Caenorhabditis elegans: one gene and its partners. The protein of the gene in region 2 interacts with the protein of the main gene of each other region in a pairwise test. Each region holds a gene or a part of one and is shown on either strand. Other genes may lie near its edges.

Evidence for each region. Proteins that work in one complex are often made in the same cells at the same time.
Region 1: the proteins of ret-1 (region 2) and rme-1 interact in a two-hybrid assay, tested with the Caenorhabditis elegans proteins (2 studies listed by BioGRID).
Region 3: the proteins of ret-1 (region 2) and tag-51 interact in a two-hybrid assay, tested with the Caenorhabditis elegans proteins (2 studies listed by BioGRID).

What each region holds. Positions count from the first base shown.
Region 1 is NC_003283.11:6,207,992-6,216,167, forward strand, and holds the start of rme-1 (Dynamin-type G domain-containing protein), read left to right. Parts: upstream 1-2,176; 5' UTR 2,177-2,284; coding exon 2,285-2,479; intron 2,480-2,695; coding exon 2,696-3,161; intron 3,162-3,930; coding exon of another isoform or gene 3,931-3,946; intron 3,947-5,724; exon of another isoform or gene 5,725-5,940; intron 5,941-6,826; exon of another isoform or gene 6,827-6,835; coding exon 6,836-7,018; intron 7,019-7,075; coding exon 7,076-7,415; intron 7,416-7,564; coding exon 7,565-8,176. Other genes in the region: W06H8.2 (NADH:flavin oxidoreductase/NADH oxidase N-terminal domain-containing protein), read left to right, coding at 61-489.
Region 2 is NC_003283.11:14,843,920-14,849,542, forward strand, and holds the start of ret-1 (Reticulon-like protein), read right to left. Parts: upstream 3,394-5,623; coding exon 3,297-3,393; intron 2,678-3,296; coding exon 1-2,677.
Region 3 is NC_003281.10:851,981-857,035, reverse strand, and holds tag-51 (uncharacterized protein), read right to left. Parts: upstream 2,816-5,055; 5' UTR 2,798-2,815; coding exon 2,653-2,797; intron 2,607-2,652; coding exon 2,303-2,606; intron 2,253-2,302; coding exon 1,626-2,252; intron 1,073-1,625; coding exon 604-1,072; 3' UTR 501-603; downstream 1-500. Other genes in the region: K02F3.12 (Putative ATP-dependent DNA helicase Q1), read right to left, coding at 1-213, 264-461; rnp-5 (RRM domain-containing protein), read left to right, coding at 3,128-3,210, 3,258-3,899, 3,952-4,096; moma-1 (MICOS complex subunit MIC27), read left to right, coding at 4,640-4,906.

The sequences.
Region 1 (8,176 bases), 8.6 Mb from region 2:
CCTAAATAACTTCTTTCTCGGTTCCGTGCGGTACTAATTTTTATCATGTTTTTTTTTCAGATTCGCCCAGTTTTCAAAAACACAGTTGTCTACTTGACTGGAGGTTTCCGTACAGTTAACGCAATGGTTGAAGCTATCAAATCCGGAGCCACACAAGGAATTGGTTTGGGTAGACCGATTACTGCGGAGCCAGATCTCCCAAAGAAAATTCTGCAAAAGTTGGCCCCTTCAGCTGTCTTCGATGCAATTGATCAAAGTGAATTTGTCCTCTCACTTCTTGCGAGCAACACTCAAATTGAACAAATGGGACGGAACTCGCTGAAAGAAGCAAACAATGATGTCACTTACGGACTCAGTGACTTCAGTGATGAAGATACTGTGAAAAGATTTGGAAAAGCAGTTGAAGAATTCGCCGAACTTTTGAAAATTCAAGCATCTCGAGGTGTCGCAATTCCAAATGTGATCACATTCGAAGGAGTGAAAGCATAAATTATGCATGTTTTTAATCTGTTTTTTTCAAAATAAATTTGTAGCGAGATACATAAATGTAAATAAATTATTGTTGATTTACTTGTTTCATACATCCATCATTTTTCATAAATCTGTCGAAGTTTCAGGTTAGGATTTATTTTCTTGTGTAAGGTGGGGAAATAATCTGGAATTCTTTTAGAAGAAACTGTCAAAAAAACCGTAAACTCGAAATTATTTGATTGAATCATAGAGCCATTCTACGGGAATATTGAATGAAACACAATTGATCAATGCATTGAAAAAATCCAATATTACGTCAATAGGATTTACATAAACAGCGTACAATTGACACTATCATCTACTGAAAAAACGAAGTTAAAACCTTCAAAAGTTTCCATTCACGACTGTCATTATTGTATAAAATGTATAATTTTTTCCGTACTGTTCCACGAGCTAATCGAAATGAAATTACGTTCTATCCAGATTATGAAGGTGAGAAATGACGTAGCTGTGCAAAATTTTTGAAGCTCTAATTTTGTTTGAAAATAATTGAAAGAGTTTTGATAATAGAGTTTTTTCTGAATTTTAACACCTACGCAACTATGATTTTGTCCATAATATTGGGAAAAATGTATACGAAATATGGGAATCCGCATCGATTTTTGTTTTGTTCGTTTGTGTGCCGCTTTTCGGAAGGCAGCCACATTTATGTTCAAACATTGACCGTTTTGTCGACGGGGATATCAAAATTGTTGGATTTCTTATAGTTTGTAGCAATATTTTATTTATTTTTAACAATATTTTGGTTAATTGTTTTTGTATTAATTTTATAATGATTAAGTTTTGGATTGATTCTTCTTGGTTTATCAGAAAGAAAGAAAACATCGTATGTTTGCGCATCCACTCAATTCAATGTTCGCTCACAAATGTGCCCATTTCTGTGCATTTGAAACGAATATTTTTGAACTACATATATAATTACTCGTAGAGCTCATTAAAGTTTTCAAGTGTACCACTTTTGGATATAATTCTTTGGGTGATAAAATTCACCTCGAACATTCAACCTTGGCACAAAAAATTCCTGAATTCACCTGATTTAATTAATTCATATCATTTTTTGTGATTTTTTATTAGGCCACGTTGCACAACTTTTTATGTGTATTGCTTAAGCACAACAAAAAATTTACACATCGTTTTATAATCAACTTTTAAAAATGTTGTTTTTCAGCTTTACATTCTAATCTTTGGTCATCTAAATTAACATTTTTCATTCAATGTGAATCATAATCTCTATTGAATCTCTCTTCTCACACTTGTTACATCCTATTTCATCAGAAAATCAGCTCTTTTCAAATTGAATATTCTCCCGCTTACCTTTAAATGATCTATTAATTTTTGACTCCACTCAAAACCTATGGGATGTCAACTTTGTCGACCAACAGTAACAGACGAAGATATCGATAAAACTCTGGTTATATTCCGTAAGAAAAGCACCAATCCCTTTGAAAAAACTTCTGAGAGATTCTCTTCAACAAACCCATTCGGAGGTGAAATTGGTGAGTCATTTCCTATTTTTAATTCTATTTGTATTTCATCATGTTCTGGAATGTTTCCTCCTGTTATCATTGTTCTCCTTATGCTTTTTTTTCTTTGCAAAGTGAATTGTCGCGAAATAAAAATTGATAACAAAAAAAGTGTGCGAAACTTGTCTCCGCCTCGCTTCTCTTCTTGACAGTTTTTTGCCTCGAAACTTGGAACATTTCATCGACTTTTTACTGGATCATTTCCTATTCCTCTTACAACAAAAGTATCGATGGAGTCTGTGAATAGTGAAGAACACAAAATAAACGAGGCACCCGCGCCACCCGTCATTGTCATTAATAGCTCCACGAAAGAAGAGCAGGAGGCAACACAAACCGACAGAATAGAAGGGCAAATGAAGAAAATCGATTCGGTCTTTGATGAGCAGAATGTAGCGTCATTGGAAGGTGTCAATTCAAAAAATGAGGTGGGTATTTCGTTTTACTTTTGATTAATTTATTTTTGGTATACACAAATTTTCATAATGTTTACATTTTCTCTCCAACCCTGTCACATTTGGTTTTAATTTTGCGTTTTTGCAAAAGGTCGGCTTCCACCAAAATGAAGCAGTAGCAAGAAATTTGTACTGTGCACTTTTAGGATTTTTTTTTCACCACTTTAAATAAATTGTAACGATTTTCAGATTTCCGGATCGGTATCAAGTTCCAGTTTTGAGGAGCTGAACGCAGAGACTGAAGATTTATCAGAAAGAAGTGAAGTCGAAAAAGACGAAGATCTAGGGAGAGTTGTTGAAGAACATAAAGAACCGGCACAAGTTCCAGTAGAATCGGAAACTCCGGAAACTTCTAAAAAAGAAATCCACCAAGAAGAAGAAATCTCTGAACTTGAGAAAGTTCCTGAAACAGTTGAAGAAGAAATTGAAGTCGTCAATACTTCCGTAGAAATTACTGAAGTAAAGAAGGAAGTGATCGAAGAAGTTAAGATCTCAGGCCTCAAAGAAGAAGAAACTCCGGTTCCAAAAATGAGAGCTCAGCAGCAAGTTCCAGTTGCTGCTGACAGGCCAATCAGGCGGCTTTCGATTGCAAGGGCATCTATGATGACCCCAAAAGCATCACCTAAACTTGCAAAGTATATGGAGCCGGTTAGAGGTAGATTTGTAGATTTTTGTTCATATAATGTTTTATGCGTCTACTTTTCTGCACTTTTTTAAACAACTAGTTGGAGTAATGTGGCTATCAAATTTAGTATTTTTCCTGCCAAATCCCAATGTCGATCTGCGATCGCAGTTCGAAAGTTTAAAACAACCTTTCCCTATTAGTATTGCACCCCACTATTTGACTTTGACAGATTATATAGGCAGAGGTTTTTTTCTGAATCTGAAGATGACAGTGCATATCAAAAAACCATTGCATCACTTTTCTTTGTTTTCATTCTGGAAAACGAAAGAACGCTTTTCAAAAGCATTTCCCAATGCCATTCCTTTTCTATTTGGAGTTTCTATCCTGCAGACACTTGCTATTCTTCCCACACAGTTCGATTTTCCATTGATTGAAAAAATTCCTGACAAATGGAACTTCAAACCTTTTTGCTTAAAGAGCTGCACTTTGCATTATTCTTTATCATTGTGAGCATCATTCGTTGACAGGTCACACTGATAAACATTTGGTCAGTGCCAATCAACGCATTTTCATACTCTCGCTATACAACTTTTCTTTCACATCCTCCCAGTACTGGAACACCATGTGCTCTGCTAACTTGTAAATAATTGTGTGCAAACTGTTTTATGTTTGCTCCGTTGAGAGGCAAAAGAGACAAGACCGCCCGTCATAGCGCGAGAACAAAACTTTTATAAGTATTACAAGAATTTTGACGTGACCAACTGATCGGTATCTGTTCTATTTTTTCGGGCATTTCGAAATGAGTAATCTTTTTGGTAAGTATGAACAGAAAATGATCATTTTTAGAAACTCTAACACCTAAATGGATAGCGTCCGAGTTTTTTGGAAAAGTTATAAAATTGATGATCAAGGTAAGGTTTTTAGGTTGTGAAACGGCAGACTTTTCAATCGCGTTATATTTTGATAATCTAGTTATGGCTTTCAAATCCAGAAGTTTCTGATAAAAGAACGAGAAAATCAAAAATTATTTTTAGCTCTACCTTCAAGTTTATATTTTTTGTATTTGACATTATATGATTTTCAATTTCACCTCAATTTCACGAGATATTAATCAAACGCTTGAAAGCTTGAATTTCTTGAAAATTTTCTTGTAAATCATCTCATATTCTCGTTCAAAAGGCAAACGAAACATGGTTTCCAGGTTCTATATGGTGTATTTTTTTCAAACATTTCAAGCTTTCTAGCTCCAACGTTCTATTTATATTTTGAAATTTTGATAAATTCTCCATTTTTTGAAAAATTCACACGGTCTAACGAGCTAATCATCATGCCGCAATCATCGCATCTTTCTTTTTCTTTTCTTCTTTTTTCTCTTCTTTTCGTTTCTTCCATCCCCCTACTCGAACAATTCAATGAAATAACAAATCGGTTACTTTATTTTGATTCAATTCTTTCCTCCTTCTACCAAATCGTCTCAAACATCGTCCGCTTGCGGTTGTCTCATTTTTCTTGATGCATGACCCCTGTGGAATCGATAGTGCACAAGCAGTTGCTAGAGTTCAGTGCTCCGTTGAAAGAGAAAGCGAGAGCATTCACGTTATATAAACTCAAACTAAACTTTTCTCTTCCGGCCTGCTTTCAATTTTATTTCTTCCAAAGAATTTTTGAGTTGGGTCTCTTGATTGATAGTGGTTTAGTTTTTGATTTTGACTACTGTATACCTATAGGTAATGCATTTGAAGTTTGTTATTTCCGGGTGATTTTCTTTAAAGTTTTTGACTTATTGTTAGATAGTTTTTCGGAATTTCAGTTACGATTCACACTCCAAACATGAAAAGTTGAATTAGTTCAACACAACTTTTACCTTTTCAATTTTCTATCTAGTGGAACAGGACACCGATTATACAGAAAATATTGTAGTTAGAGCAATTGAATTGTTATTGTGTTGAAATTGTATTATGTTATTTCTCAAGCAACCTCGTGATTTTACAACAAAATATTTTTATGTCGATTTCTAGTTGGAACGCAGAATACTACTATACGTCATTCTATTGATTGCATATTTTAATTATATTTAGTTACTAATTTCAATTTAATTTGACTAAATCTAACACAATTTGTCCTACTTATTCATCAGTTCCATGAAATTCCAAGCAAATATTGTGGTTTCATATTTACACTGCGACCATTTGATATATGCGCTGGTTTTCCAACAAAAACCATTCACAGCAAGCAATTCCGACAATGCTTTTTTTGTGTGTGTTCTCTTTTTTTCCCCATAAGATCTTTGCAGTTCGGCCGGTGGGTGATGGTGGTCAGTTCGCGTATTATTTTGACTTTTTCGTCTGCGGTCTACTTGGTCCTTAGACTCTCTTGTCTGGCTTTTGCGCAGTCTGTCGGTCGATCTATTTTCTCGATTCGACTACCTGATCCATTTCTAATTTTTCCTCTTTTTCTGTGATTCTTGATTTTTACGCTCTCTCGGCAATTTGTCATGTATAGAACGTCAACTATTGATGTGACCAGATGATTGTACTGTGTTCCCGATTTCATATAATTCATGAGCCTTTTAAGATGAATAAAACATTCCTCAAAGAATATGACTTCAGTCTCAAGCTTCTGATACTACATTGACCAGTTCCTAATGATCTTTAGCATTCTAATCACTCAATTAACATAAATTTTCTCAACCCATCTAATTTCAAAACCAATTGACGGTCTCTAATTGATGTTCTAAATGTTCTAATTTTCTATTGATATTTCCTGTTTGTTTTACGATCCTCCTCCCAGTTAGTGCATCATCATCAATAGGCCGCCACGTCATCTCTGCCCTCTCTGTGTCCATTCGCCTACATCTCTGTTCACACAGTGAATGAACACACTAGTCGTCTGTCAGTATCTGCGTCTCTTACCACATTTCGTGAAAGTCCCACTCTCTCACACCGCCTGATTGTTGGCTGGCGGCTATGATGACTCACTTGGTTTCAGTTCAACACGAGAATAGAGCCCCTATTTCGCAATTTCGATTTCTTTGGGTCTCACTGGGGGATTCTGAATTTAGTCATTCTATAAATTGGCCGGAAAATCTAGAAGAATTTTCAGTTTTTTCGAACTTAGGATGACGAAACTTGTATCACTTCAAGCTCGGTATTTTTCTGTAGATAACTTCTTTTTTTTTTCAGTGTTACATCAATTTAAAATTCAGAATTTATTAGGTTTTCTAACCAAAATATTGAGAATCTTCGTTTTTTTTTTGTTAAAGTAATGTCGTTTACTGTGTTTTTTTTTTTAGTTTTTCAATTCCAGCTGTACATATTTATTCACCACCACCACGGAAATCGAATTTCTGTTGAAAATTTACGTCAGATCTCGATTCATTTTATTTTTCTCAAACAAAAACTATTTTTAATATTAAAAATAACTTTTTATAACAAAAAACGAAAAATGGATGAGAGTAAGTCTAGGCCTGCAACTTTACTTTCTACAGTAACCTTAAGACGCATATACGAAACACATTTTGTTACTCGCTTGTTTTTGTTTTCCTCCCGCGAAATTTCCTTAATTTCTTGAAATATCTCACATGTTCCGTTCAATTTTCCGCCAATTCTCACCTCCTCAACATCTTGGTAAATTTTAAATAAATAAATTTAACATTAGTTTTAATCAAAATCTCATGATTTATTCTTAATTTTATCAGTTTTCAGAAGAAGGACAAAAGAAAAAGAAGACGAGAAGTATGTTTTCGTGGCTTGGTGGTGATTCGTCAAAAAAGAAGAACAAGGAAGTTTTGGAGACGGTTTCCGAAGGTCTCCGCAAGATTTACAAGCAGAAACTCCTGCCTCTTGAAGAATTCCACAAGTTTCACGACTTTCACAGCCCAGCTCTCGGTAATTTGAAATTATTTAGCATATTTATATTTTCAAAATAACGTTCCTTCTTTTCAGATGATCCGGATTTCGATGCCAAACCAATGATCCTGCTCGTCGGGCAATATTCGACCGGAAAAACGACTTTCATCCGTTACCTCCTCGAGTCCGATTTCCCAGGAATCCGAATCGGTCCAGAGCCAACCACCGACAGATTCATTGCTGTGATGCATGGTGATGAAGAAGGAAGCATTCCTGGAAATGCTCTTGTTGTTGACGCAAAGAAGCAGTTCCGTGCTCTGTCAGGATTCGGAAACGCATTTTTGAATCGATTCCAGTGCTCGACTCTTCCAAATCAAGTTCTCGAAAGTGTAACGATCGTTGATACACCTGGAATCTTATCCGGAGAAAAGCAAAGGTTTGTTTTAATTTTTAAATAATCGGAACACTACTTTCAAGGAGTTGTCCCCATTTGATGAAGCTCCAATAACTTATTTGTTTACAAAAACGAATGCTTGTTGGATCGAATTTCCACGATGCAAAAATAAAAATACTTTTTTATTCCAGAATCGATCGCGGATATGATTTCACTGGAGTTTTAGAGTGGTTCGCTGAACGTGTCGATCGTATCATTCTTCTTTTCGATGCTCACAAGCTTGACATTTCCGATGAGTTCAAGAGATGTATTGAAGCATTGGCTGGAAACGAGGATAAAATACGAATTGTTCTCAACAAGTCAGACATGGTTGATCATCAACAGTTGATGAGAGTCTACGGAGCTCTGATGTGGTCACTGGGAAAAGTATTCAAAACTCCAGAAGTTTCACGTGTCTATTTGGGATCATTCTGGGATCATCCACTTCACTACGATCTCAATCGTCGACTTTTCCAAGACGAGCAGCACGACCTGTTCCAAGATCTTCAAGCATTGCCACGTAACGCTGCTCTCCGAAAGTTGAACGATCTGATCAAGAGAGCTCGTCTCGCCAAGGTTCACGCATACATTATTGCTGAGCTTCGTAAGCAAATGCCATCGATGATCGGAAAGGATAAGAAGAAGAAGGATTTGATCCAAAATCTTGACAAGATCTACGAGCAACTCCAGAGAGAACACAATATATCTCCAGGAGACTTCCCAGATGTGAACAAGATGAGAGAGAAGCTTCAAACACAGGACTT
Region 2 (5,623 bases):
TCAGAAAGATGATCTTCTAGCTGAGTGACTGTAGTTTCAGACGGCAAAATTATTGTGGGAATTTCTTGTTCTGTATGTGCTGGTTTGTCAGCCCCATCAGGTTCCACGCTATTTTCATTAGCAGATATTTTGATATTTCCTTCTTCACAATCACCAGATGATTCCAGCGCAATTACCTTTGCAGATGAAACTGGCTCAGTTTCTTCAACATTTTCAGATGCATCAGGTTCTTTATTTTCAGAACTTTCCTGATCTGATGCAGTTTCCAATGCAGGCCTATTCAAATTATCTCCAGAATCTTCCAAACCGATAACTGCTGGAGCTTCCATTTCAGAATTCTCATTTGCTTCAATGGAAGCTGCTTGCTGTCCTTGTTCCAGACCGATGAAGTGTTCTCCTGAAGATTCAAGTCCGATTGCAGTTGTATTTTCAACATCCCCAGTAACTTCAGATTCTTTATTTTCAGAGAATTCTTTCTCCGGTGGATCTTCCTGTACAGAATCTTTCAAGTTCTCTCCAGAATCCTCCAAACCGATGACAGCTGCTGTTTCCAATACATAACTCTCACAATTGTCAATCTGACCTTCTTCATGTTCTAGATCCGTACCGATAAAGTTGTCTCCAGAAGATTCAAGGCCAATCGCCTCTGGAGATGCATTTTCCGCATCTTCCGGAATCACAGAACTGTCAATATCAGAAGATGTCAAATTTTTCTCATGAGCAGCGACAATCTCTGCAAGACCAGAATCCTCAAGCCCAATCGTTTCTCTTTGAACAATTTCCGTTACATCATCCTGTTTGATATCTGCGCTCTCACCAGTTTCATCAACATTTCCAGATGCATCGTGTTCTTTAAGTTCAGAAAATTCTTGATCTTCTGAAGATTTCAACTGTGATTGTTTCACTTCATCTCCAGAATCCTCCAACCCAATGACATCCAATTCTGAACTTTCAATCCCTTTGATGGGCTCTGGCTGCTGTTCTGGATCCGTACCAATAAAATTGTCTCCCGAACATTCAAGTCCGATTGGGGTTATATTTTCAGCAATTTCGGTCACTTCAGAAACTTTATTTTCAGAAAGTTCTTGGTTTGTTACAGTTTCCAATGCTGGTTCTTTCAAAATATCTCCAGATTCTTCCAACCCAATGACTTCTTGGGTTACTAATTCGGAGCTCTCAGAACCTTTAATTTGTTCTGTGCCCTTTTCTGGATCGGTACCAATGAAGTTGTCTCCAGACGATTCAAGTCTAATTGGGGTTGTAATTTCAGCAATTTCAGTCATTTCAGATTCTTTATTATTGAAGTTTTCTTGATCTGGTGCAGTTTCAAGTAAAGGATCTTTCAAAATATCTCGAGATTCTTCCAACCCAATGACTGCTGGGGCTTTAAAACTTGAAGTTTCCTCAACCGCTTCTTTTTGAGATTGTTCAGCTCCTGCATTTTGCTCGATGCCTGCGTTCTCTCCAGATTCTACAAGATCGATTGCTTCCGGATTCTTAGATTCTCCAACTTCTTCGTTCAAATTTTCTGCGGTATTTTCAGAAACTTCAGTCACTTCAGGCTCTTTAATTTTCGAGAATTCTTGATTTGATGCTGTTTCCAGTGCATGCTTATTTATAATATCTTCAGAATCTTCCAATCCGAAGACTGCTGGGGCTTCGAAAGTCGAAGTTTCCACAACCCCATCAGCAGAGCTTTGAGGTTCCAAATCACTTTTAGAAGTAGAATCATACTCTTGATTATCTTGAGTAGGTCCAATTTCTGCAACATATTCTTGTGTTTCTTGGATTATTGGTATAACACCACCTTCATCCTCAAGACCAATGAAGACATGCTGAACATCCGTATTAATTGTATCTTTTTCGGATTCCAAGTCCGCAGAATAATTTCGAATTATTTGCAATTTTTCGGCTGCATCTTTGAGAACATCAGATACAGAGGAATCCTCAATTTCATAATTGTCTCCTGTTGGAGTTGGCGTCTTAGAGTCCACAGATTTTACAAACGAATTTTGGAAAGTTTCTTCCTCAGGATCATCATCCAAATCATCCAAAGTGTCATTGGAAGTCAACTTAACTCTTTCGATAAAGTCTCTTGCACCTTCTCCAGCATTCGCTTCTAGGACTGTAGTGAATGACTCAGTTTCAGTCTGTTCATCTTTTTCAACTGGTTTAAATGTAAATTCAGTAAGTTCAGCAACATCTGTAACTTCTTCCACAACGTTATCTAGTTCTTCAGATGGTGGAATGTCCTCAAAAGTAATGGTTTCCTGAGAATCAATACTCACATCTTCCATCATTGGAATTGTATAAACCAATTCAAATCGACGATCAGTTGGCTCACGGAACAAAAGATCCACTTCGACTTCCTCATCCTCAAATTCCAATTCATCCAGGTTGATTTCGGCACTTTTTGAAATGGTGTAAGCTAATTCCATTTCTGAATTCTTTGGCTGACGGAACAGTAAATCAGTTTGCACATTTTCTTCTTCTTCTTCAAAAACTTCATCATCAAGAGGTTCATTGAGAATATCGTCAGGAAGTTGTTCAACTTCCGAATGAGAACAAGAGGACCCACCGGACTCTGACTCAGGAGTTTGAAGGGGTTGAAGAGCAAGTGGCTGGAGGGATTTTGGCTCATGCTCAGATGTTGGCTCGTTTGTGGAATTTGTCTCCTCTGAAATGACAAAAAGATTTTCCAAGGAAATTTAAGAATATTATTTTTTCTAAGTGAAAGACCTTGACAAAGCATTAATCTCGACCTTTTAAATTTTGATTTTTAATTATTTCAGTGTTTTTTTGCTTTATTTTTGAGACCTATAAATGCTCCAAAAGCTCTTTTCCGATATTTTAATATGGGTTTTCGAATTTGATTTTCAGATTTTTTTCCGAAATATATCGGAATCCAAACAATTTCCACATAATTTTGTCGACTTTTTTACCTTTTTATCTTTTTAAATTTTTTTTTATCTTTTTTAATGCCTAAAAACTATTTTTTGAATCATTTTTGCGGGATGTCTAGAAATAAACTGAAAAAATCAAAAACAAAAATTTCAGAGGTAGATATCGGATATGTGCCTACTTGGATACGTGGAACATTTATTAAAGTTTTTTTTCAGAAATTTTAAGTTAAAAAAGTTATATAATGCTTTTTCTTATGAACTTCAAAATTTTCAAAATTCACAAAAAAAACTAGCAAGAGATACAATCTATTAGAAATCAAGCTTTTTCAATTTTTTTTTTTCAAACTGCATTTTTACAAACTAAATTTAAAAAAAATATGAAAAAACACTCACCTTTCGGGTCAATCCAAATTGTCTTAACCAACTCAAAATTTGTGATCTCCGGTGGTTTTCGAAAGAAAAGTTCCACATCGACATTTTCAGCGTTCATTTCGTTTTCAGCATCCATGAAGTGGTGTTTTTCGTGACAAAATTTTTTGGAGCTCACAAAAATGTGCTGACACGAGATGAAGGGACCCCGAGGAGTTCACCATGTGATTGTATACCCTGCGTCTCCGCACAGGTACATGATATTTCTGCGGGGACAGCTGCCGTCTCACCGCAGGTGATGAGCATTTTTGCTTTCTCTCGGGGTTTTCGATCATCTCGCTCTTTTGTGCTATTTTGTTTTTCTTTTTGTTGTTGCCCTCTGTCTTCTTCTCTTTCATCTCATTCATCTCTTTTTCAGCTCAAACAGAGATCCAAGTCATACGTTTCAAATGACAATAGGGGAAAGATGGGGGTGTCAGTGATAAGCTCAAAATCATGGTGGCTTCAAAATTATTTAAAGGAAAGCACTTAAAAATCTCATGAAATGCCTGCCCATGAAAGAGAAACAGTTTTTTTTTCTGTTCTCGAAGGTTTCGAAATTAGTTTTTTCAGCTTCCTTTTATTGACCGATAAATCTTGCATGGCGGTCTGTTCACCTGTTTAAATATTATGTTGAAATCAAAACAGAGCGACCGTGTTTTGGAAAACACGCAGAGAAGCACGAATGTGAATAAGAAAAAGTCGATCTCAAATTTCTACGTCATTTGTTCAAACGCATATTGACTTATTTAACAGCCACTTAATTTTTTTCGAATTCACTGCTGATTTTATAGTGCTTATTGGCAAAGGAAATATTTTTTGAAAAAAAGTTCCAATAACTGACTTATTTTTGAATTTTTTCTGACATTCAAATTTAAATTCAATTAAAATTCTGAAACTGCCAAAACAACAATATATTTTTAACATTACAAATTTATTAAATTTTTTTTCAAATTCACATAATCCAAAACAATCGTTTATGTTGAAACCCGTTATAAAAAACCATTTTCTGGTTGATTTAAAAAATGACTTTCAAATTTATGAGCCGCGAAAATTTAAAATTGGCACATCTTGATTGTAAATAAATCTTGCAATTTTTAGTGGTAATTGCACTATAGAAGATATTTTGAACAATTCTCCTACTGACGTTTCTCTTTTTAAAAAAATGAGCCAAGATATAAGCTCACAAAAAAAGAAGCAGTACTAGTAGTAACAATATTGAAAATTTAGAAAGTCTGACATCTGAAAAAGCGAAAATAAATATAGCAATATGCAATTTGTCTCGTTTTTCCATGTTATCAATTGATATCAACTCATATGTTCATGGAAAGAGTGTGGTGAGTGACGTAAGCAAACAAACAAAATTGTTTTTATTTCCATAACCTCTATTTTGAAAACTTCCAACTGTTTCCATTCCCCCAGTTACAGTCAATTGTCAATCTATAACATACAAAAATGCCAGTTTATATTAGATACGCAGACAGCTAGAACATTTAAAGCACGTGCTGTGTCGGCTGTTCAGATGTAAGAGGGGCATCTGTTGTTAATCGTAAATCACATTGACAGGTAGGTCAGAGAGTTTTGATGACGTGGATTGGGGGAGAGGGTTGGGTTTCAGAGTTTTTTGTCAGAAAAAAGTTTTGGAAAAGAAGAAAGAAGTTGATCGAGTAACTTGAGAAAGTTGTGAAATGAAATTTTGAGAAAAAAAAATGAAAATGAAACAAAAAACAAAATAAAAAAAAAGATCGAGAGAAGATAGATAATTCTGCCAATAGAAAAGAAGATAGAAACCTAATGGCAGGTAATTAATTATATCAAGTCTAAATGAATCATTTCCAAAAAAAGGAAGTTGTCAGTATAAACTTAGTTTGAAGTAACAAAACGGAACATTCATATTTGGAATTCATGAAAGAGTTGACGGCATGTCAGAAAAGTTGGAGAACGTCAGGAAAAATTGGGAACTCAGCATTGTTAGAATTGCACCGTAAATATGGAAAATTATTTTTTATAGTGCTCAAAAATTGAACACAAATTGCACAAGAAATGTCTCAAAACAAAAAAAAACGTTTCTAAATAATTTATTAATTTTTTATTAAAAAAATCGCTCAAAATTTATCTGAATTTTAACTCTGAAATTACGCTGAAACTTCTCAAAAATTTTCCAAAAATTTTTGAAATCTTATTTTTTTAATGTGCAAAACTTCTCAAACATGTTAGAGCAACGTATAAGCCAAAACTAGTCAAAAAAGAGAAACAGAAGAAGAAGAAGAAAAAAAATAGTGCGAAATGGTAGATAGATTTAGCAACAGGGA
Region 3 (5,055 bases), on a different chromosome or scaffold from region 2:
CTTTCCACCGCCTGTGCTTAAGATAACAACTGCATCTTCTTTACTCATTACTGCATTGATTGCGGCTCTCTGAAGAGGTCTGAACTTTTCCAAATGAAATTGTTCTTTAAGGATCTTTGTAGCTTCATCGGACCATGGGAACCCATCTCGATCCCAACGATCCGTCACAACATCCGAGTCTTCATTCGTTTTTAGTTCGATTTTTCGCTCGATCTGAAATAAATATTTTAAAGACATTTAGCTGGTTGAGATCGGTCACTAACAGCCTGCCTTTTTTGAGTTAATTCCGATTTCTTTCGTCTTAATTGGCTGATTTGTTGATCAATCTGCCCGATTTCTCCGTCGAGATCGGCAAGCTCTGTGGACAACTTGGAGAGCAGAACATCGCTCATGAGATCTGGAATAGTTATTTTGTTTACATAAAAGAAGATATTTCCACGTGAAAATATGAAAGTAGCCATACGATAAGGCTTTTTGGATAGTTAAAAAATAACCTATAATAATAAAAATTCAAATTTTTTCACACCGATTCTGAGAAAAAAGACCCGTATTTTAACAACAATTAACAACAAAAAATCAACAAAAATAATAACAAAACAAAGTTCAGAGAACCAATTCTTCTAGTGCTTCCAGCACATCATTCCTCGTTTTCGTAGCCATGTTGCTCATTTTCCGCCCATCTTTTGCTCTTAATCTTTGATATTTCGGCCACCAGTCGAATCTTGTTCTCCATTCAGGCACCACAAACGAGGGATCAGTTAGGCTCAGAACTTTCTCAAAGAGACTCCATGCTCGTTCATTGAATCGGTTAGAGTCAAAATCCAGGAATTCGAACATGATTTTTAGAGATTTCTGCATGGTCTCTTTCACTGATCCAAATCTTCCGACCGTTTGAACTAGGTTCTCCACATAGTCTAACCACGTGGGCTCACTAGGATGCAAGGAGAACCGATCGCAGATTTGATGAATAATCTCTTCATTTTCGTATCCAACGCCACATCGTTCGGCTAATTGCATCATACGGGGGCCGAGAGATGGGTGACGGGTTATTGTATCCATGATGGTTTTACTTCTAAAACAGTTAATATTATTATTATTGATTTCTCTGAGGTTTGGCTCATTTTCAGCTAATGTTGTTGTTTTTTTAACGAAGAATTTGCTATTTAAGTATTCGAGTTGGGTCTACTAAATATTTAGCATACCCAACTTTGGTCTGCTAAATATTTAGGATACCTAACTTTGGTGTGTTAAATATATAGCATACCTAATTTTGGTCTGCTAAATATTTAGCATACCCAACTTTGGTCTGCTAAACATATAGCATACCTAACTGTGGTCTGCTAAATATTTATCATACCTAACTTTGGCCTGCTAAATATTTAGCATACCCAACTTTGGTCTACTAAATATTTAGCATACCTAACTTTGGTCTGCTAAATATTTATCATACCTAACTTTGGTCTAAATGTTTAGCTGACCAAAGCAGACAGACTGTCTCGATTTATTGAAGGAGAAAACGAAAAGAGAGGTAAATTTGCTGTTTATTGAGCGAAAAATTTGGATCTGCCAAGCATTCGTTTTGGGCCTGCTAAATATGAAACTCTGGAATCCAGCGGAAAACTGACAAGTCTTCATGCTGATCACACTGGTTGCGAATTTTACACGCAAGTTCCACAGCTGTCACACATCCAGCTCCAATATCATCTGACTTGGATTCCTCTTCTAATCGCTGAGCAGTCACCAAGAATCCTTGTGCATTTCCATTACTCCTATCGTACTTGGAAATCATTTTCCAAAATTGAAAAATTCGTTTTCCACGTGGATTTGTCGCTTGTGGAGTAAAAATTGAATAGAATTCTTCCATTTCTTCCTGGGAGCTGGACCAGTTGAATGCAATAGCCACATTGAGTGCTTCGTTTAGAAAATAAAAACCGTCTCCTTTGACGTGAAGAGCGCGCATTTGAAGAGTATTCGCATGGGCGAGTTGTACAATTTGTTCATTTTGAAGTGGAAATGTCCAGTTTTCTAGAACCGTCTGAAGTGCGAAGCTGCTAGCTTCTGGTGCTTGAATAAACGAATCTCGCTCTTGAAATATATTCTTAATGTGCTCCGTCAGAAGGTCATGCCGTTTTTTTGCACTATATCGAAAATTTCGCAGGTGTCGATGATTTGAGAGAAGATTTTCGAGTCCTTCGCGGTATCCAATGAGGAACAGGTGAAAACAACCAAGGCGCTCTTGATTCACAGTTTTTCTGAAAGAAATTTCCATTGAAAAGATAAAATTTTAAAAAAAATCACTCACTGGACGACTTCATTTGCGAATTTCCTCTGTCCTACAGTGGCGAGCGATGTGCTGGCATACTGAGCAAGATTCAGATGTCTTGTAACTTCTGATAAATTGTTCAATACTGATGGAAGATTTCCGGCTTGTCCCACATCTCTCGAAGCCGCAATTGCTGCGACACGAAGCGGCCCATCCGTCTGGCTCAACTCAAATCCTTGATGAAGAAGTACTCGAGCGTACTTCTCGACGATTCGAGAACAATATCCACGTTTTCCAGAAAGTGGAGTGATGAATTCGTCAAGAAGCCTAAACCATCTTGGTTCTGCAAAAGAATTTAGTGCTAAAATACTTTTTTGGGAAAAAATTACCTTTTGTTTCAAATGCTTCCATCCATCGAAACTGAATTTCACGCTGATCAGCGTTATTATCGAAATTTTGGAATTCTGCAGAGTCGATATATTTGATTTCTGGGAGCTCTTCTTCTTCTAAAAGTTCAGATTCTGCAGAGTCCATTTTGAAATTGAAAAAAAAAACGAAAGTGTTTTGTTTTGCAACGACACTCCGATATTCCACCGCGCGCGTTGTTTACCGTAAATCATTCACCCGCGTCTCTTCGAAAAATGATTCGATATTTTCAATTCTATAGTTTTTCTATAGGTTTTTTCTTGTTTTTCAATTAAAAATTTATTTGAAAATCCGTAATTCTTGTTTTTGGTTAATTATTTACTCAAAAAAGTAAGCGCTTTAGCCAACATTCTGTCTCTTCTTCTGCTCGAACACCACGCGGTGAAAATTTTCTTACTTAGTTGATGTCTATTCGAGTATATGAAATAATTTTTCAGTATGGTTGAGAAAGAAGAAACCAAAAAGAGGGCTCGCTCGTCTTCAAGCAGCTCGTCCAGTAGCTCTGGATCGTCATCTTCTGGGTATGCTTTACAATTTTCATACAATAGCTTAATAATCGATATTTCAGAAGTAGTTCATCAGGATCTCGCTCCTCCAGCTCATCGTCCAGTGGCCGTTCTCGTTCTCGCTCACCACGTCGTCGTGATACCCGCCCACCAGCTCGTGGAGGACGCTCTCGTTCTCCAATCCGTCGTGGTTCACCGCCAAGAGGAGCACGCGCGGATCGCGATCGCCCAATGCGACCATCACCATCACCACCACGTCGCCGTCGTCCATCCCCATCGCCACCACGTCGTGATCGTCGTGACAGAAGCGGGAGCCGTCAGAGGAGACGCGCTTCTCCGAGGAGAAGCCCAGCAGCAAGATCAGCCAGTCCGGCCAAGCGTGTAGTGATCAAAAATTTGAGCAGAAATGTTCTGAAAACGCACCTCGAGGAGATTTTCTCGATCTACGGAGCCATCAAGAATGTCGATCTTCCACCAGATCGCTTCCATAACCATGTTCATCGTGGATATGGATACGTTGAATATGACAATTTGGAAGACGCCGAAAAGTCGATCAAGCACATGGATGGAGGACAAATCGATGGAATGGCTGTTCACGTCGAAATGACTATCGGACGACAATCTGTCCCATTCCAGCGTAGAAGTTCTCCATTTAGAAGACGCTCGCCGCCACCAAGAGACAGAATGTCACCAATGAGAAGAGGGTAAGTAATCAAGGAAAAGTAGTATATTTTGATAATTTTCATCAAATTCCAGAGGCCGCAGTCCACCACCACATCGCAGACGTTCTCCAATGGGCGGCCGTGGCTCAGGAGCCAACAATATGCCACTTGGAGGGCCCAACAGATTCCGCCGTGCCAGCCGCTCTCGTTCTCCAGCCGGCAGAAGATCGCGTTCTTAAACTTCCATTACTGACGTTCCATTTTAAAACCCCATTCTAAACTGTCCAAATTCTGAACATCCTTTGTTTATTATTCTTCTGTTTTGTTATGCAAAAGATCTCCCCAATTTTCGTTTTTTTAATAAATTATTTTGGGTGTTTTAAGGGTAATTTGGATTGGTTAAAGACATGGTTAATTGCCTGTTAATTATCTATTTTAATTTTAAAACCGTCCTCAGAGGGGTTTAAATGTTAGAAAATATTTAAAAAAAAAACAAGAAAGCCTGGCGCGAAATATATAGTAGCGCAGGCGTCGGTGTCGATTTATGAAAAAGTGGTAATTAAATACAAAGAAAATCAATTTTAAATAATTGTTTAAAGGCGCATCGTGAATAAACACAAACTCCGTAAATCGACACAGAGCCTGCGCTACGAGATATTTTGCGCCACAAATGTAGGAATACTTATTTCTTCATGGTTTTTTAATAATTATAATAAGCTAATCAATTTTAAAATATTTATTCTTGTTTTATTATTTTATTGTTTTACCGCTTGATTTTCCAGATGACACAAGACAAGCCGATTGTGGAGACAATTTCAAACGCCGGTGAACAAGTGACAAATGTTTTTGGACAATTCTGGCAACTTGTCACCTCGAAAAACACGACGAATAATGGAGATTCAAAACCTATTAAGATTGAGCAACTTCCGATTTATGCTGAAGATAATGCTCCACTGAAGCAGAAATTCCTTCCAGAAGAGCCACTTCCTCTTCAAAGAGAATTCGCGACTATTCGTATCGCATGTGAGCAGGAGTATGATCGTGTTGCTGTGAGTTTTACGCGATTTTATGTGGAGAAAAAATTATATTTCGTTTTTAATTGGTTTTTTTTTAAAAGAAGAGTTTGGATTATTTTATTTAGCTAATTTTTTGTATTTAAGTAATTATTTGATATCTGTAGTTTTTTCAAGTGAAAACC